2 linked regions of the Stegostoma tigrinum genome follow. The protein of the gene in region 1 binds, or shares a complex with, the protein of each later gene. Links are inferred from orthologs where the notes say so. Each region holds a gene or a part of one and is shown on either strand. Other genes may lie near its edges.

The links. The genes of interacting proteins can lie anywhere in the genome.
Region 2: the proteins of slc3a2b (region 1) and slc7a11 are in contact, whole or in part, in a cryo-EM structure (PDB 7P9V), measured with the Homo sapiens proteins. The link is inferred for Stegostoma tigrinum from reciprocal best matches to the Homo sapiens genes SLC3A2 and SLC7A11. Residues at the interface, in NP_002385.3 of Homo sapiens: Glu167, Leu170, Ala173, Trp178, Thr181, Arg182, Phe189, Trp190, Trp193, Met196, Leu197, Gly199, Ala200, Ile203, Ile204, Ala207, Arg209, Cys210, Glu212, Leu213, Lys299, Arg534, Gln559; in NP_055146.1 of Homo sapiens: Leu151, Phe154, Phe155, Ile156, Gln157, Cys158, Glu159, Pro161, Leu163, Ala164, Leu167, Ile168, Ala170, Val171, Thr174, Val175, Val178, Gln217, Gln219, Val360, His373, Thr487, Gln489, Ile490, Ile491, Glu493, Val494, Val495.

What each region holds. Positions count from the first base shown.
Region 1 is NC_081395.1:2,198,301-2,208,488, reverse strand, and holds the start of slc3a2b (solute carrier family 3 member 2b), read left to right. Parts: upstream 1-6,207; 5' UTR 6,208-6,433; coding exon 6,434-6,875; intron 6,876-7,354; coding exon 7,355-7,528; intron 7,529-9,575; coding exon 9,576-9,676; intron 9,677-10,188. UniProt on the Homo sapiens protein: Acts as a chaperone that facilitates biogenesis and trafficking of functional transporters heterodimers to the plasma membrane.
Region 2 is NC_081354.1:24,593,863-24,604,310, forward strand, and holds the start of slc7a11 (cystine/glutamate transporter), read left to right. Parts: upstream 1-6,637; 5' UTR 6,638-6,878; coding exon 6,879-7,161; intron 7,162-10,448. UniProt on the Homo sapiens protein: Heterodimer with SLC3A2, that functions as an antiporter by mediating the exchange of extracellular anionic L-cystine and intracellular L-glutamate across the cellular plasma membrane.

The DNA of each region.
Region 1 (10,188 bases):
ACAACCAGCCCAGCTCTTCCCCCCCACCCACTGCATCCCAAAACCAGTCCAACCTGTCTCTGCCTCCCTAACCGGTTCTTCCTCTCACCCATCCCTTCCTCCCACCCCCAGCCGCACCCCCAGCTACCTACTAACCTCATCCCACCTCCTTGACCTGTCCGTCTTCCCTGGACTGACCTATCCCCTCCCTACCTCCCCACCTACACCCTCTCCACCTATCTTCTTTGCTCTCCATCTTCGGTCCGCCTCCCCCTCTCTCCCTATTTATTCCAGTTCCCTCCCCCCATCCCCCTCTCTGATGAAGGGTCTAGGCCCGAAACGTCAGCTTTTGTGCTCCTGAGATGCTGCTTGGCCTGCTGTGTTCATCCAGCCTCACATTTTATCATCTTGGAATCTCCAGCATCTGCAGTTCCCATTATCACTGGACACAGTGATCTCAGTAAACACTGATCACAGTAAACAAGTTGCTGGTTTCTGGTGTTGGGGTCAGGCTTCCAATACACAAGCTAGCCTGGCTGCAAAATTAAAATGTTCGAATAACAAATTGTGTCTGTGACAAGAGTACAACCTTAAGGAGGAACCCCCCCCCCCCCCCCCCAGCTCAGATTTGACCAGTCAGGAACTGGTTAATCAGGGTGAGCACAAACTGGACTCTCATTTAGTCGCATTGTCAGGTTAGAGAATGGTGTTTAACACTCGGCAGCCACAGAACCAGGAGTAGCCCATGGTAAATCATACTCTCTCCCTCAGAAATGGTGCAGGAAGGATCCATTGGTCCATCAGGGATGCCTCAACTCTTGGAGGATTTCAGTTCAGGGCCATTCCCTCAGCTTGGTCACGGGACAAATAACCCAGCCTGTTAGTTACTTTCTATTGCATTGTGCAGTGCACAAAAAGATCCCAGAACCTGTTTCCCCGTTTGAGTGAATCTGGCTTAGTTACTGTTCAGAATCATCAACAGGAAAAAAAGAACATTCCCTCTCACTTTCTTACTGGCTGTGTACGCCTCCATGGCCTGTGTGAGGCAGTAACTTCCAGAACCCAAGATCATCACTGCGATCAGCTTCCGGACTCCAATCACTGTGCACAGAACACAGGGTGGCTTCATACACAACCTATCGAGGGAACATTACAGGGTGGTCCCTGGGTTACTGTTCCACCCAAAGACAGCACCTCTGACAGTGCTTACTCCCTCAGCATTGACCCTCCGACAGTGCGGCGCTCCCTCAGCACTGACCCTCCAACAGTGCGGCGCTCCCTCAGCACTGACCCTCCGACAGTGCGGCGCTTCCTCAGCACTGACCCTCTGACAATGTGGCGCTCCCTCAGCACTGACCCTCCAACAGTGCGGCGCTTCCTCAGCACTGACCCTCTGACAGTGCGGCGCTCCCTCAGCACTGACCCTCCGACAGTGCGGCGCTTCCTCAGCACTGACCCTCCGACAGTGCCTGCTCCCTCAGCACTGACCCTCTGACAATGTGGCGCTCCCTCAGCACTGACCCTCCAACAGTGCGGCGCTTCCTCAGCACTGACCCTCTGACAATGTGGCGCTCCCTCAGCACTGACCCTCCAACAGTGCGGCGCTCCCTCAGCACTGACCCTCCGACAGTGCGGCGCTCCCTCAGCACTGACCCTCCGACAGTGCGGCGCTTCCTCAGCACTGACCCTCTGACAATGTGGCGCTCCCTCAGCACTGACCCTCCAACAGTGCGGCGCTTCCTCAGCACTGACCCTCTGACAGTGCGGCGCTCCCTCAGCACTGACCCTCCGACAGTGCGGCGCTTCCTCAGCACTGACCCTCCGACAGTGCCTGCTCCCTCAGCACTGACCCTCCAACAGTGCGGCGCTCCCTCAGCACTGACCCTCCGACAGTGCGGCGCTTCCTCAGCACTGACCCTCCGACAGTGCCTGCTCCCTCAGCACTGACCCTCTGACAATGTGGCGCTCCCTCAGCACTGACCCTCCAACAGTGCGGCGCTCCCTCAGCACTGACCCTCCGACAGTGCGGCGCTCCCTCAGCACTGACCCTCCGACAGTGCGGCGCTTCCTCAGCACTGACCCTCCGACAGTGCCTGCTCCCTCAGCACTGACCCTCTGACAATGTGGCGCTCCCTCAGCACTGACCCTCCAACAGTGCGGCGCTCCCTCAGCACTGACCCTCCGACAGTGCGGCGCTCCCTCAGCACTGACCCTCCGACAGTGCGGCGCTCCCTCAGCACTGACCCTCCGACAGTGCGGCACTCCCTCAGCACTGACCCTCCGACAGTGCCTGCTCCCTCAGCACTGACCCTCCGACAGTGCGGCGCTCCCTCAGCACTGACCCTCCGACAGTGCCTGCTCCCTCAGCACTGACCCTCCGACAGTGCCTGCTCCCTCAGCACTGACCCTCCGACAGTGCCTGCTCCCTCAGCACTGACCCTCCGACAGTGCGGCGCTCCCTCAGCACTGACCCTCCGACAGTGCGGCGCTCCCTCAGCACTGACCGTCCGACAGTGCGGCACTCCCTCAGCACTGACCCTCCAACAGTGCGGCGCTCCCTCAGCACTGACCCTCCGACAGTGCGGCACTCCCTCAGCACTGACCCTCCGACAGTGCCTGCTCCCTCAGCACTGACCCTCCGACAGTGCGGCGCTCCCTCAGCACTGACCCTCCGACAGTGCCTGCTCCCTCAGCACTGACCCTCCGACAGTGCGGCGCTCCCTCAGCACTGACCCTCTGACAATGTGGCGCTCCCTCAGCACTGACCCTCCGACAGTGCGGCGCTTCCTCAGCACTGACCCTCCGACAGTGCGGCGCTCCCTCAGCACTGACCCTCCGACAGTGCGGCGCTCCCTCAGCACTGACCGTCCGACAGTGCGGCACTCCCTCAGCACTGACCCTCCAACAGTGCGGCGCTCCCTCAGCACTGACCCTCCGACAGTGCGGCACTCCCTCAGCACTGACCCTCCGACAGTGCCTGCTCCCTCAGCACTGACCCTCCGACAGTGCGGCGCTCCCTCAGCACTGACCCTCCGACAGTGCCTGCTCCCTCAGCACTGACCCTCCGACAGTGCGGTGCTCCCTCAGCACTGACCCTCTGACAATGTGGCGCTCCCTCAGCACTGACCCTCCGACAGTGTGGCGCTTCCTCAGCACTGACCCTCTGACAGTGCGGCGCTTCCTCAGCACTGACCCTCCGACAGTGCGGCGCTCCCTCAGCACTGACCCTCTGACAGCGCGGTGCTCCTTCAGCACTGACCGTCCGACAGTGCCCGCTCCCTCAGCACTGACCCTCCGACAGCGCAGTGCTCCTTCAGCACTGACCCTCCGACAGTGCCCGCTCCCTCAGCACTGACCCTCCGACAGTGCCCGCTCCCTCAGCACTGACTCTCCGACAGTGCGGCACTCCCTCAGCACTGACCCTCTGATAGTGCCCACTCCCTCAGCACTGACCCTCCGACAGTGCCCGCTCCCTCAGCGCTGACCCTCCGACAGTGCGGCACTCCCTCAGCTCTGACCCTCCGACAGTGCCCGCTCCCTCAGCACTGACCCTCCGACATTGCCCGCTCCCTCAGCACTGACCCTCCGACAGTGCCCACTCCCTCAGCGCTGACCCTCCAAATGAGTTGTGTTCCCTTCTGACACGTGACCTTCCTTCTGTTTGGACACTGACCAGAACTGTACACTGTACTGCAGATGTGGTCTCACCAATGCCCTGTATGACTGAACCCTAAACTCTCTACTATTTCCATTAAGTCCTCTTGCGAGTATTGAGTGCAGTTTTGTTGCCCCTCTTACTCAATGCTCCACAATTATGTGTTTTTCTTTAGGTTTGATATTATCTTTGAACTTCTTAGTTAGCCATGGAAGGTGGATCCATCCCATGATTTTTTTCTTGCTGATTGAAATGTCTCTATTCTGTATATTCTGAAATATCCCCTGCATTGAATCTATTGACCTAAACTTTAACCTAATTTGCCAATTCACTTTAGCGAGCTCTTTTTTCATGTCCTGATAGTTCCCCTTATTTAAAAATAGCCTCAAACACACTCAAATTTCCCTCAAACTGAATGTAAAATTCCATTGTATTGTGTTACTGCTTTGTAGGGGCTTGTTTACTGTGAGATCATTAATGAAGTCTACCTTGTTGCACAGCACTGGATTCAGTATAGCCTGCTCTCTGGTTGGCCCTATAACATGCTGTTCCAAAAAAACTATCTGGAAAACATTCTGAGCTACCTTGCCCATCTGAATTTTTTTAGTTTATATGTAACTTTGTGAATAATTCTTGTTGTGTCATCCTGACAAGCTTCTTTAGGCTCCACCCTACCATGCAGTGATTGTCAAGGGCCTGCGTACCACTCCCACAAGTGACTTCTTGCCTTTATCTCTTCTTATCTCAATTTAGACCATTTCTACAACCTCATCCCTGAACCTAGGCCCAAACTTCTGAAGAAGGGTCCTGACCCAAAACATCAGCTTTCCTGATTCTCTGATGCTGCCTGACCTGCTATGTTCCTCCAGCTCCACACTGTTGTTCTGGATGTGAGTTTGCTCGCTGAGCTGGAAGGTTAGTTTTCACTGTTGTCTTTGACTCCGGAATCAGCAGTTTTTACTATCTCATCCTTCTCTATTGTATGCCTGCCATCATTAATGAACAGAGCCACCCCTCTGCCTTTTCCTAGCTCATTCTTTCCCTAAATATCAGAGTCCTGATGAAGGCTCCTGACCCGAAACGTCAGCTTTCCTGCTCCCCGATGCTGCCTGACCTTCTGTGTTCCTCCAGCTCCACACTGTATTGACTCTGTATCCTAAAATATACAGATGCTTATCCACAGTATCTTATAGCCATGTCTCTGTCATGGCTACCAAAGCACATCTATTCACTTCTATTTGTGCTTTCAATTCAGCCATTTTGTTTATCAATTACAGACAGTTCAATTCCAGATCCTAAATACTCACTGTGTGAAAGAGATTCCTTTTGCCTTGCAATTGCACTTTTTTCTGCGTCTTCTGGTTCTTGATCCTTTAACACAGAATAGCTTCTCCCTGTCAACTCTGTCCACATATCTCATGACTTAGAAAAACTCTATTAAATCTTCTCAAGTGTTTTGAAATGCATGGTATGGGGGTGGGGAGGGAGGGTTGGAGAATGGGTGAAGCAAGTGTAGTGACATGAATGCAAAACTGGTTGGCAGACAAGAGACAAAAAGTGGCAACAAACAGGTCACTTTCGCAAGTGGCAGCCAGTGACTAATGACGTACTGCAAGGTTCAATATTCGGACCCCAACTATTCACAACATACACAAATAATTTAGATGAGGAAACTAAGTGTAATGTCTAAGTTTGCAGAGGGTGAACTGTGCGGTAGGTGCAGAGATGCTTCAGTGTGATTTCAACAAATTGAATCCATGGGCAAATGTATGGCAGATGCAGTTTAATGTGGACAAATGTGAGGTTATCCACTTTGGGAGCAAAACCAGGAAGGCAGATTCTGATCTGAATGGTGATAGATTGAGAAAGAGGGAGGTGTCGTCGTGCAACAGTCGCTGAAAGTAAGAAGTAACATTGCAGCTTCAGCAGAAACCAAAGGGAAATGGTCTGTTGGCCTGCAGAGAGAGAGATTTCGAGAACATGAACAAGGTGCCTTGCTCAATTCCACAGGGTCTAGGTGAGGCCATATATGGAGTATTGTGTTAGAAAAAAAATGCAGATGCTGGAATCTAGGTGGACAAACAGGAGGCTGGAAGAACACAGCAAGCCAGGCAGCGTCTGCAGGAAAGGAGCAATCAACATTTTGAGCGTTACCCTTCCTCAGGACAGTTTGTCGACCTGGAGTGTTGTGTGCAGTTTTGGTGGGCCTTTCAGCAAAAGATGTTCTAGCTATGAGGGAGTACAATGAAAGTTAATGAGACTGATTCCTGGGAGATCAGTTAGGGCCATATTCACTGGAATTTAGAAGAATGAGGGGGTTATCTCATAGAAACCTATAAAATTCTAACTGGACCAGAGAAGGTAAATGCAGGAAGGACATCTCCTTTCCTAACCTTCTCTGTTCTGATCAGAATAATTCCAACTCTCCAGTCTGTCTACATTTCCTGAAGTCCTTGTGCCCCTGAGATTTTTGGTAAATCTTCCACGTTGTGAACATTGGAAGTTCCACCTTAAATTCTGCAGTGACGAGGAGAGGAGGAGACAAGGCAGAACGTTAAAAAGGGGAAGGGAGGGAGGCGGAGTTCCTCAGAGAAAGAGAGACGGACTGAAGGCGGGAGTGGGCTCCGAGAGAACACACAGTTGTAGTTTTAAAGCCCTGCGGCTTAGTGCTTGGAGGATTATTACTGCGATAGTATTACAGGCTTTGGAGTATTACAGGGCAGTGGGGAGCAGTCTTGCAGAATCAGGAGGGCTGTGGGGACGGTATTGCAGCGTTAGCGGGGCTGTAGGGGCGGAAGGATGAGCTCAGAGGCCGGGATGAAGGATGCTGAGTTGGGCCTGAAGGAGGTTGAGCTGAATGAGGTGGACCAGGAGAAGGTACCGATGACAGCGGGCCTGCCTGGGGATACAAACGGGGCTCTGAAGGGGGAGAAGGGAGAAGTGAGCGGCGGCTCTGGGCTTCGTGTTGGACCGGGCTCCCCCTCCGTGTTCACGGGCCTGAGTAAAGAGGAGTTGCTGGCGGTAGCGAGTAGCCCGGCCTGGGTTCGGAGCCGCTGGCTGCTCCTGGCCCTGTTCTGGCTGGCCTGGCTCGCTATGTTGGCCGGGGCCGTGCTCATTATTGTCCGGGCCCCGCGCTGCCGCCCGCTCCCTGCCGCCCGATGGTGGCACCGCGGCGGCCTCTACCGCATCCACAGCCCGGCCTTCCAGGACTCGGATGGAGACGGCGAGGGGGACCTTGCAGGTACCGGGGGGGGGAAAGAAGGGGCACCGGGGGTCGGGTACTCGGGTTCGGGGAGGGAGGGAGGGAACCGGGGGTTGGGGGGAGGGGCTGTGGGTAGCGGCGGTAGGTCTCCGGTTGCGTCAGCCTGAGGGGCGGGTCATTGCTCACCTTTAAACCTCAGGCCCCGCCCCTGGACGTCACGTGCTCCGGGATGGGGCGGGGCGGGGCGTGGCGGCGGAGGGGGGGTGCGTGTGCGCGCGTGCGCATTAAGGACGAGGAGATATGATGGGGAGTTCTAGAACCAGCAGAGGTTTTTGGGGGTGGGGTGGGTTTTGCTGAGACAGCAGAGGGGAGGCCTGGGACAGGGCAGCGAAGGGTGGCTGGATGGGGTGATGTGTGGCTGGGATCTGGTCTGGGACAGGATTACCAGCTTTTGGGAGCGAGGACTGTGGTGTGGTTCAGCCCCTGGGACTCAAGTGTTTATTTGCTATCGCCTGCAGGAGTGAGCCAGAGAATGGAGGAGATTGCTGCCCTCAAGGTCAAAGGCATTATCATTGGTCCAATCCACCAGAATGTTGCAGACATGGTCAATGAGACCAGGCTGAACAAGATCGATAGCACATTTGGCAGCTTGGAACAGATGCAGAACCTGCTAGAGGTGGCCAAGAGGAAAGGTAATTGTGAAAGCTCTCAAACTTTACTGGACTGTTCAGTAAATGTCATCAAACTGCAACATTACTGGGAAAAGGTCCTCCCTTCTGGGTGAATGCAAACCACAAGGGCCCCCCTGTCTGTGAATAAGAGGCAGTTCTGATTTAAAAATCTCGTAGACTATGGAGTGCAAGTGTGGGAGAAGGATCGGAGCGGCATTGATCACTGACCAGTGGAATCTGTGATTGCCTGCATGGATCTGGAGTATATCCTTCGTCAGGTGAGGTGACCCGAATTGCACACAATACTCCAGGTGCAAGCTCACCAGTGTACAGTGTAATTGAAACAATACTTCTGAGTTCCTGTACATAATGCTCTTGTAAGGCTTTGGAGTAGATCTGTAGCTCGGGCTGTGGGGGTTTTCAAACTCTGGGGTCCGTTGCGATGGATTGCCTCAATTCCGGGATTCCTCCGTAGTGGAATGTACCTGGGGCCAAGTTCAATGTGTTTATTAACAGCCTGCTTCGTGGAGTGCCATGCTTCCAGGATTTCTCGTGCTTGTCTCGGCTGAGCCTGTCCCAGGATCTCCAATGTAGTCAATACAGCAACACTTTCATGGACTGGTCCACTACATCGGACAAACAGGAAGGAAACCAAACAACAAAACTACATGAACACCAACTGGCTACAAAAAGACATGACCAGTACACACTCAGCTCAATCCACGTGGACAAGGAGAACCACCACTTTGACTGGGACAACACCAAGATCCTGGGACAGGCTAGGCAGAGACAGGCACAAGAATTTCTGGAAGCATGGCACTTCACGAAGCAGGCTATTTATGGGGCTGAGTTCAATGTGTCTATTAATAGCCTGCTTCGTGAAGTGCCATGCTTCCAGAAATTCTTGTGCCTGTCTCTGCCTAGCCTGTCCCAGGATCTTGGTGTTGTCCCAGTCAAAGTGGTGGTTCTCCTTGTCCACGTGGATTGAGCTGAGTGTGTACTGGTCATGTCTTTTTGTAGCCAGTTGGTGTTCATGTAGTTTTGTTGTTTGGTTTCCTTCCTGTTTGTCCGATGTAGTGGACCAGTCCATGAAAGTGTTGCTGTATTGACTACATTGGAGATCCTGGGACAGGCTCAGCCGAGACAAGCACGAGAAATCCTGGAAGCATGGCACTCCACGAAGCAGGCTGTTAATAAACACATTGAACTTGGCCCCAGGTACATTCCACTACGGAGGAATCCCGGAATTGAGGCAATCCATCGCAACGGACCCCAGAGTTTGAAAACCAGGTGGGAGAACGCACCGTTTCATCAGAGGCTGCACTGAGGATGTTACCAAGCACAGTAACAAAACGTCTGCGGAACAACAAACCAGCTCAGCGAACTAACCAACCTCGATAATCCTGTTGTGCTATATGCTAACAGACTGTTTGTTTGTCTTCTGAACTGTTTACTGGAACCAGCATGTGAGCATTCAGTAACTCCTGGACAAGGACAACTCAGTCCCTTTGTACATCAGCACTCTTCCAATCTCTCACCAGTTCAGAAATGAGTCAGCATTTCTGTGTTTCCTGCCCAAGTGGATACCTTCGCACACATCCACATTATATTCCATCTGCCATATCCCATGCCCAAGTTGTGGATGTTGCTTGTGATTTGGAACCAAGGACAGATCCTTCTGACCGCACACTGGTTACAGGCTACCATCCTGAGAATGACCCAATTATTCCCACTCTCTGCTGGCCCAGATTCTGTTTGTCACCCCCCGCCCCCCGCAACGTGTCAGAATCCCAAAAACCCACAGGTTATCTATCTGCCAATAACGTCTTCATGTTAAAACTCTTAACAAGTTTGCACATGATCTCCCTTTCAGCCAAGTCAACATGGATTTTTCAAACTGATCACCATTTGTTCAAATGCCCAGTTACTAAATCCTTAAACAATGGGGTTACATTTTTCACCCACCAATCCAGGGAATTTTGAAAGCTTATTGCATTAAAAAAACAAACCAAATCTCACCTCTATCCTGTAGCAGCTTGAAACTCAGTCAGATTTTGTGCCCAAACAGGTCTCAAGGTGATTCTTGATCTCACTCCCAATTACAAAGGAAAACAGAAGTGGTTCGGCATTAACTTCAACAGGACTGATGGTGGCCAGGATTTGTTACGGGTATGTGCCATTTCCATAAGGATACGGAGGGTTCCTCTTCCTCTTTGCTGTGGTGAATAGGTTAGGCTGGGCCTTGAGCCCTTCCCCCATCTGATTGGGTTTCAGACTCCTCTCCTGTGTGCTGAGCAAGAGGCAGTCACTATCTCTTGTGACATTGTCCTCGCTTGGGAAAGGGAATTAGGTGAGGGTGCACAGCACAGTATTAGGTAAAGCCTCTTAGAGTCATAGAGCTGTACAGCATGGAAACCAGCCCTTCAGTCCAACACGTCCAGATATCCTAAATAAATCTAGTCCCATTTGCTTGCATTTGACCCATATCTCTCTTAAACCCTTCCTATTCATGTACCCACCCAGATATCTTTTAAATATTGTAATTGTAACAGCCCCCACCACTTTGGCAGCTCGTTCCACACATGTACCACCCTCTGTGTGAAAATGTTGCTCCTTGGGTCCCTTTTATTATCTGTCCCCCCACCAACCCCAACCTTAAACCTATGCCATTTAGAACATAG
Region 2 (10,448 bases), on another chromosome or scaffold:
CCAAAACGTCAGCTTTTGTGCTCCTGAGATGCTGCTTGGCCTGCTGTGTTCATCCAGCCTCACATTTTATTATCTTGGAATTCTCCAGCATCTGCAGTTCCCATTATCTCTAGAGTAAATATCTCTTAGTTTTATAGTCGGACAAAGTGCATTCAAGGGACCTGCTTTACCTGTGTAGACAATGGGTCCTTGAGCACACTAATTCAGACCCTGTTAAAAGACTCTTTGGTAAAATTAGTCTATGATGAGCGAGGCTGATATTGGGCCTGGCTCAGCTCAGATTTTTTCTCCAATCCCAAGAGCTGCCCATGGAAGTAAGTTTCAAAAAATATTTCTTGTTATAAAAGAAAGCTTTGAGGAGTCAAAGAAGTGAAATTAACACACACCAACTTCATGTGTGACCATCCACTCGTAGCCCACTCTAAATCTCATTTTGAAACTTACCTGAGGTCTGTAACTGTACAGCAGCTGGACCAAAATAGATGACTTTCTTTGGGTGAGCTGTCTGTAGAGACATGATGAATACTGGAATTCACCTTGTGTATGTTGATGATGGCCAATTACCACCGGATTTCAAATCTCTTGGTGCTTATGTTCCACTTAAGATTTTTCCCACTCTTCCTAACACTATCAGCATCACTCTACCCCTTTATCTATCAAGTATATACCTAAGCTGCCCACCAACTCCATCTATATTCCATGTTTCAACTACTGCCTGTGATAGCAGCTTCTACATTTTCATCCTTCTTTGTGTAAATTAATTTCCTCTGAATTTTCTGCTGGATTTCCCTCGGACTATATATACTGTTGGATTTTAGTCTAGTTCTTTCCAGCAAAGGAAATATGCTCCTTGTATCAACTCAATCAAAACCTTTAGTACTTTTTGAGATCTTTTAGCCCCTCCACCTTCTCTTTTAAGAGAAACCTGAGCAGCCTATTCATCCATTTGTGATGTGTACAGCTGGTTGAAAATTCTTGAATGACAGAGAGTGGGTCTGAGTTCCTCGTCACTTACAAAATCTGGATATGAATCTCAGTTAAAACAAACTTTCTAGCCAAGTTTCATCCATTTATAATTGTAATGGATATAACCATCTGAATATTGAATGTTGAATTATCTTTATTGTCACATGTACTTAAATGAGTACAATGTAAAGTTTATAAGTCACCACTTATAGCCCCATTTAGGTATATAGGTACCCAGGAACAGCTTCTTCAGTTACAGGTTCAATTACAGTGTCACCAACACACACTGCCAGCTTAGTTGTACCTAGTTACAATTCTTAGTTGCAGAATAGAAAAACAAAGACAAAACAGTTACGTTACAGCTATATACAGTATAACCATAGATCAGAAAAAGATAAAGCAATGTTAAGAAGACAAACATCACAGCCTTTCTCCAAGGGCTCTCCACATCAGATCAGCCCAGGAGGCCTCCATGTGGCCTGATCACTGGCTGCCAATATGCTCCGCACCAGGCCACTGTTGTCACTCTCTGCACTGGGTCGCAGCTGTCACGCTCCACACCAGCCACAATCCCGTTTCACACCGAGCCGTTGGTGTCCCGCTTCAGGCCAGTATTCTTGGCATCCCTGCTTCAGGCTGCTGGTCGCTGCCATCCCTGCTTCGGGTCAGTGTTTACTGGCGTCCCCGCTTCAAAGGTTGGGGCTGGGTGACCAAGGCCAAGACTCTGAGAAGACAGAAGAGGAGAAGAAAGCCACAGAAGGGAGGAAGAGAGAGAGACAAAAAAGGAAAAGAATTGGTGGACCAGATCAGCATCAGCTAGAACAACCTACTGTGCTGCTATCTGAATGGAAGTTCTTTAGTAAGCTGTTGAGGTAGGGACAAAACAGAATGGAGCTACGCTTCCTCCACGCATGATGCTATATTCTCATTTTTGACATTCCGCAACTGCAAAAAACAGGCCTTCACTGCCTTACAATTGAAGAGGAAGAGAAAAGAAGGCTGGATTAAATAAATTAAGTACATACTCCTTCTATTTAAACTCAGACAGCAGTTTAAAGGAGCATTTTGTTATGATTAAGTTACAGGTTTTAAGAACTTATTTTAATGGAAGTCAGCACCATAGTCAACACCAACATTTGTTGCCCATCCCTATTTGTCCGTGAATTGAATGGCCTGATTAGCCATTTTGGAAGGCCATTATGAGTTAACCAGTCTTGTGAATTTGGAATGTAGGCTGGACCAGGTAAGGATGACAGATTTCCTTCTCTAGGGAGAGTTATTTTTTTCTGATTATTGATGATGCAGTCAGGCTGCTTGTCTGTAGGGATTTGTTTGGGGAGTTTGAGGGAAATTTTGCTGTACGGTAAACTGAGGCATCAATTTAACTCACACAACTCATGCCAAATGACTGTTGGGCAAATACATGATTGTTCAACCAAATGATCATGTTAGAAAGTGGTTGAGAGATACTCCTCAGTCCAGTGACAGTCAGGGAAATGAGAGGCTTGACAAGGTCAGTTGTCTGCTTGGGCAAGCTGCAGTCAGGGGATACATCTGATCACAGTCCAGGTAGTGGGCAACAGTCAATCCCGTAGAGCCAGGAGAATTGTATATTGGCAGTCATGATGTTAAAAAGACAGCAGCCAGGTGTTGTGTTAGTCGTGAAAGTCTGGCAGAGATCTGGGTACAAAAGCTAGTCAAAGACAATTTGGAATACACAACTGGCCTTTGTAAATCTAACAATGATATCTCAGTAATGCAGAAATTTACAGCAACAACTTGAAAAAAAGGCATATACTTGCCAAAAACAACCAATAACTGTGAAACTTGCAAGGGCACTGTGCGAAGTGGAGATATATGACCTGTCAAGTAAGTATGACAATGGATTCATGGAATTCAATGATGAATTTCATGGTTGATTTGGGTTTGGGATGGTAAGGAGGTTGTGCATCACAGTCACAGCCTCTGTGATGTAATCTGTTGATCACTCAGTCAGGATGGCTCTTTCCTCAAGCTAGTGAATATTCTGAGGTTGAAGCTGAATGAATGATACACAGCCCCACTTATCGGTGTGTGAAAGACTGTGTGTATCCCTCATTTTCAGGGCCTGACACCAATGATTGTTCTGCACTAAGGGCCTATTTTACTCCAAATGTTCCAAACTAAAGTCATTTACAAAAAGTGTCATGCACCCAGTCGCTGATGAGATGTTGGTCACTGTGGCTGTCTACCTCAGAAGGTGACAGCAGACAAAGGAAACAAATTACTGTTAGACAAGCCTTCTCTGAATTATGTTTAATCCAGTGAAAACGAAGGTCTGTATGAAAAGGGGTAATCTGCCATGGGTGTCTAAGGAAATAAGGGACGCTATCAAATTAAAAGAGAAGGCTTGCAAAGTGGCCAAAAACGGCGTGAAATAAGAAGGTTGGGAAAACTTTAAATGTTAACAGAAAGCCACAAAAAGAGCTGTAAAGAAAAGTAAGATTGAACATGAGAAAAAACTAGCACAGACTATAATGACAGATAGCAAAAGTTTCTATAAATATATAAAATGAAAAAGAGTAGCAAAAGTAAATGTTGGCCCTTTAGAGGATGAGAAGGGGAATTTAGTTCTGGGACATGATGAAATGGCAGAGGCATTGAACAGGTATTTGGTATTGCGCTCTTCACAGTGGAGGACACTAATAACATGTCAGTAATTGACAAAAAGACGAAGGTAGTTGAGGACCTGGAAACAATCATTATTACAGAAGAGGTAGTGTTGGGCAAGCTAAAGGAGCTAAGGATTGATAAGCCTCCTGGTCCTGACGGAATGCATCCCAGGGTGCTAAAAGAGATGGCGGGAGAAATAGCAGGTGGACTTGTGGTAATTTTCCGAAATTCGCTGGACTCTGGGGCAGTCCCAGCAGGTTGGAAAACAGTAAATGTGACGCCACTGTTGAAAAAGGGATCTAGACGAAAGGTGGGGAATTACAGACCAGTTAGCTTAACCTCTGTAGTGGGGAAGATGCTTAAGTCTATCATCAAGGAAGAAATAGCAAGGCATCTCAATAGAAATTGTCCCATTGGGCAGACATAGCATGGGTTCATGAAGGGCAGGTCATGCTTGACAATCTTTTGGAATTCTATGAGGACATTACGAGCAAGGTGGACAATGGGGACCCAGTGGATGTGGAGTACCTAGATTTCCAAAAGGCCTTTGGCAAGGTGGTGCACAAAAGGCTGCTGCATAAGATAAGTTGCATGGTGTTAGGGGTAAAGTATTAGCATGGGTAGAGGTTGACTAACAGAAAGCAAAGAGTGGGGATAAATGAGTGGGGATATTCTGGCTGGCAATCAGTGACCAGTGGTGTGCCTCAGGGATAGATGTTGGGACCACAATTATTTACAATTTATATAGATGATTTGGAGTTGGGGACTCCAATTTTGGATTTGGCTAAAAGGATTATTACTTGAATGGTAAAAAGTTGCAGCATGCTGCCATGCAGAGGGACCTGGGTGTCCTTGTGCAGGAATCACAGAAGGTTGGTCTACAAGTACAACAAGTAATTAGGAAGGCAAATGGACTTTTTTCCTTTATTTCTGAAGCGATTGAGTTTGAAAGCAGAGAGGTTATGCTGCAGCTGTACAAGGTGCTGGTGAGGCCATACCTGGAGTATTGTGTGCAGGTTTGGTCTCAGTACTTGAGAAAGGATGTACTGGCACTGGAGGGGGTGCAAAGGAGGTTCACTGGGTTGATCCCGGAGTTGAGGTGGTTGCTTATGAGGAGAGACTGAGTAGATTGGGATTATATTCATTGGAATTCAGAAGATTGAGGGGGGATCTTACAGAAACATATAAAATTATGAAGGAAATAGATAAGATAGAAGTAGAGAGGATGTTCCCACTGGCAGGTGAAGCTAGGACGAGAGGGTATAGCCTCAAGATTACAGGGAGCAGATTTAGGACTGAATTGAGAAGGAACTTCTTCACCCAGAGGGTTGCTAAAATATGGAATTCCTTGCCCAGTGGAGTAGTTGACGCTACTTCAGTAAATGTTTTTAAAGCTAAGATAGATATTTTTTTGAACAATAAAGGAATTAAGGGATACGGTGAGAGCGCGGGTAAGTGGATCTGAGTCCATGAAAAGATCAGCCGTGATCTTATTGAATGGCAGAGCAGGCTTGAAGGGCCGGACAACCTATTCCTGCTCCTAGTTCTTATATTCTTCTGTATAGTGGAGGTGACGTAGAGAGGATGTTCATATGGGATATATATAAGGACATTGCCTTGTTGTTTACAGTGCTTAGGGTGGAAAAATGGGGTTGTATGGATGAGGATGTGTTAGCCATGCCAGCGCCATGCTGTAGGCAGTGAGGTTTTGTGATGGCTGTGCCATTGTGTTGCTGGTGAGATGCAACAACAAGCTTACAACACTTTTCCAGGGGCACAGTAGCCTTTTAAAGATGGCATGGGCGCCAGTTTTTAAATGGATATCTGTTGGTTGTCGAGTTCCAAAAATGGCAATTGATGGGGTGAGGCTAGATTTCAGTGAGAAAGAAGTTACAGCAGTGGGGTAGGTAGTTAATGAGGTGAGTTTGGTCAGATGCAGTGTGAGATTTCGTCAGGCCATCCAGAGATAAACTCTTCCATGGAACTCAATGAAACTGACACTTCAACATAGAGATGTAAGTTTCAGCCCGTGTTTCAGATCAAAGACTATGGATATCAAGCTTTGTCAGCAAGGATTGGAATGCTGCTTGAGGAAGATATGACATGGGACAGGATTCGAGCAACAGAATTTTGATTGAGCTGGAGTTTTGATTGAGAACATTGTGATGTGGAGGTGCCAGTGTCAGACTGGGCTGGGCAAAGTCAGAAGTCACACCACACCAAGTTATAGTCTAATAGGTTTACTTGAAATCACAAGCTTTCAGAGCACAGCCCCTCCGACAGGTGAAGGAACAGCGCTTCAAAAACTTGTGATTTCAAATAAACCTGTTGGACTACAGCCTGATGTGGTGTAACTTCTGATTGAGAATGTGGGAGGGTAACCTGCTGAGTCATTGGACAAGAACAATCTAGAAAGGTGATAGAATTCTCTGAGATTTCAGTAGTGGGAGTGTTTGTTTTATGTTTGTGTATGTGAGTCACTATTTGTGCGAATATTTCCAACATCACAGTAGACCGGAGTGCCACCGCGTCCCTGTGTACATACAACAAAAGGGCAAGAGGGCCTTATGGTGCAGTGAAGATTGGGAATCAAGTCCTTACTTGCCCTAGAAGTGTGTCATAACCACTTACAGGTCACTGGATGAGGAGAAATTAATTAAACTACTGCAGATCAGTTGCTGCCTCTAATGTTCAATATATTCACACACACAGGTATTGAAATAAGATTTCCGTTGAAGTAGGGTGCTCAGGAAGTCAGAATACCTGAAACGTTTAGTCGTGTTTTGTCTTCGAAAAAAGGGGATGGTAGTTAAGAGAGTCGCGCAGAAATAAGGAGAGGGAATCAAAGTGATAGAAAACGTGTGAAGGAATTTGAGTTGCCCAAGCAGCGAGGGTACGGGGAAAGTGCTGAGTAATATTCGCTGGCTGATGCAACACATCCCCAGTAATGACATCAACTAAGTGTTTGTTTGCCCGGGGCTGAATAAAGAGCCGGCGGAAGCGGGCTTGTTACTTTTAGGAGGGTCTAGTGCAGCAGAACCAAACACAGACAGAGCCAAACAGACACGCACAGACTAACGAACACACAGAGCCTGATGCACACACACATACACGGAGCTAATCTGTGATATGAGTGTTCGAGGCCAGAATCCGATTTAAATCACACATCCACCTGCCAGGGCGCAGAGCCCCGTGGCATTCAGTGAGCCAGGGAGTGTGTAGCGAGAGGCACCGGTGGCTCCCCGCTGAAATTGAGCAACATGTCCAGCAGCGCAATATCGGCGATCTCTAGCGGAGAACCCCCCAGCGGGGGCACCAAGGGTTTCCTGCCCCCTGAGGGGGGATCCCGGCAGCAAAATGACAGCCCCCGGGACAAGGTGCGGTTAAAGAAGAAAGTGACTCTGCTGAGAGGAATATCGATCATTATCGGCACGATCATCGGAGCGGGCATCTTCATCTCTCCCAAGGGAATCCTGAAGCACACTGGCACCGTAGGGATGGCCCTGGTTATGTGGACCGCCTGCGGGATACTCTCGCTTTTCGGTGAGTTCGACTTCACAGACTTTGGGAAGTTCGCTGCAAACTTATCTTTCTGGCTTCCCTCTGATTTTGTAATCGATGGGGAAGACTTGGTAACAGGAGTAGATCACTCAGCATGATGTTGAGAAACAATAGGCAGTGTCCAAAGTACCAGCATTTTCAGTGCTTTTTCTCCTTGATCTGACAAACAGCGGGAGATCGTAGGAACACACTATACAACTTCAGAAGAACCTTTACTTTCGCCAGTTCTGTCGTTCCAAAACTTCTGTTTGCTATCAAACCATCACTTGTGATGCTTTGATGATTAATAATTGTTCTATATGCACATACGGTTCCTATGAAATATCTATATTACATCTAAATCGTAATAATATCAAAAAGGGAATTGTCAGCAGTTTTCCTTTAAGATGCTCCCTAAAAGCTTACCTTCTCGGTCACCTTGCTTATTACCTCCCTATTGTTGTACTAAATTTTACTCAATTGCACTGCTCTGAAGCCCATTGGTATATTTCACTGAGTTTGAGGTGCGATATGAGACAGTTGTGGTTATATTTTGTAGATATCATTATCTACAGATAGCCCCACCCCAACTCCCCACTTCAATAGGAAACAGCTTTGCCATTTAGAGGGATGAAGAAGGGATCATTTGGAGGACTTTGAAGAAGTAGAAAGGTGGCTATTGAGCATCACTGTGCTTTAAAAAGCCGCTGGTGTGTTTCCTCTCTGGTGAAGGAGCTGTATCAGAGAAGGTCAATGGATTAGCAGTTACTGTATACATGGTCAGTGCCACCATACAGCTTAGTTTCCATAACTTGAACAGATCAAAGAGAAACTTTGCAGGGATTTTTTTTTTACCCTTTTTCCATGTGATTATATGGTGATGGTTAGAAGCAAGTGTATAATACTGTAACTGTGATCAGCGTGGGACTAGCTTGATGGCAACTGGTATTTTCCTTCTCTCATTACTTCTACCAGTAATTAATCCATATTTTCTTTTAAACGTTTTGACAAGTTTTCAGACTATTAAAAACATGCCTCCACATACACAAACAGACAGACCCTACTTTGTACTTTTCCACTGGCTACTGGGTTTAAATAAGTGCCAGCCTGAAGAAAGGTGGCACTGAGTTATTCTGCAGAGGACAGGTTTAAAGTTTAGATGTGATTCTGTGACAGGGCAGCATTTACTGAAGAACTCAATGTACTAGGAATTACACTAACAATGAATTTAAGATTACTAGTTGGGAATGGTGCATTGTAGCTCACTTACGCCGACACTGATCCACAAGCAGTCATATGCAACAAAAGTGGTTTGGCCAGACATTGCTCCATTTCTGAAATAAACAAAAACATCGGAACAATCACCCCATGGTACATTTTTAATAGTAATAGTTGGGCCAATCAGAGCTGACTTAATAACCAATCAACATTCTATTCTCATAAGATCATTAAAAATAGAAGCAGGAGGAGGCTATCTGGCCCATTGAGTCTATTCTACCATTCAATAAGGTCATGGCCAATTTTTTCATGGACTCAACTCATGGACTTACCTGCCCACTCACCATAAAACCTATTTCCTCCCAGGTTCAAAAATCTCAGTATCTTTGCCTTAAAAACATCCAATGAGATAGCCTCAATCACTTCACTGGGATGGGAATTCCACAGATTCACAACCCTTTGGGTGAAGAAGTTTCTCTTCAACTCACTCCTAAATCTGCTACCCCTTATATTGTGGCTGTACGCCTAGTTCTAGTTTCACCTGCCAGTGGAAACAACTTCCCTGCTTCTACCTTATATATTCCATTTATAATTTTATATTGTTTGATAAGTTTCCCCCTCATTCTTCAATATTCCAATGAGTATACTCCCATTCTACTCTCAATGCCTCCTCATAAGCCAACTCTCTGAACTGTGGAATCAACCTAGTGAACCTCCTCTGCACCCTTTCCAGTGCCAATACATCCTTTCATGTAGTATAAATAATTGCTTCCTTGGGAATTTTATATTTTTAGAGTCATAGGGCTGTACGGCAGTCTACAGCTGGGCTGTACCTTTCAGTCCAACTCATCCATGCTGATCAGGTTTCCGATATTAATATAGACTCATTTGCCAGCATTTGGTCCATATTCCTCTAAACTCTTCCAATTCATGTAACCATTCTGATGCCTTTCAAACATTGCAACTGTACCAGCCTCCACCACTTCCTCTGACATCTCATTCAATACATGCACCACCCTCTCTGTGTAAAAGTTGCCCTTTAGGCCCCTATTAAATCTTTCCCCTCTCACCTTAAACCTATGCCTTCTAGTTTTGGACTTCCCTACCCTGTGTAAAAAGACCTTGGCTATTCACATAATCCACGCCCCTCATGATTTTATAAACCTCTATAAGTCACTCACCTCAGCCTCCGATGCTCCAGGGAAAACAACCCCAGCCTATTCAACCTCTCAAGTCCTCCAACCTCAGCATTATCCTTGTAAGTCTTTTCTGTACCCTTTCAAGTTTAACCAATCTTTCCTATTGCAGGGAGACCAGAATTGAACACAACATTCCAAAAGTGGCCTATCCAGTGCCATGTACAGCCACCACATGACATCTCAATTCCTGTACTCAGTGCACTGACCAATGGAGGCAAGTGTACAAAACAGTTTATTCACTACCCTGTCTACCCAAGGCCACTTCATTTGGCAACACTGCCCAAGACCCTACCATTAAGTGTGTAAGTTCTGCCTGGTTTGCCTTACAAAATGCAAAATCTCACATTTATCTAAATTAAACTTCATCTGCCATTCCTCAGCCCATTGGTCCATCTGATCAAGGTCTTTTTGTGCTCTGAGGTAACCTTCTTCATTGTTCACTGCACCACTGACTTTGGTGTCATCTGCACATCTACTAATCATACCTCCTATGTTCACATCCAAATCATTTATATAAACAACAGAAGGCAGTGAACTCAGCCCTGAACTTTGTGGCACACTGCTGGTCACAGGACTGCAGTCCGAAAAACAACCATCCACCACCACGTTCTCCTACCTTCAAACCAAGTTTGTAGCCAAATGGCTAGCTCTCCCTGTATTCATCTGCCCTGATGAAGCTTTGACAGCATGTCTCTCTCTTCAGAAATATTCAAATTTTATCTTGACACATTTCTACCCCTGTAGTAGATGTATTATAATGCCTAGTATGGCAGCAGTCTTAACCAAAACGTAGTTGAAGATGTGTTGAGGGGTGGAAACAATATTGGGCTTGAGAGAGGAAATCAAAATTTTTGGAACCCCGCTTTCTGTTGA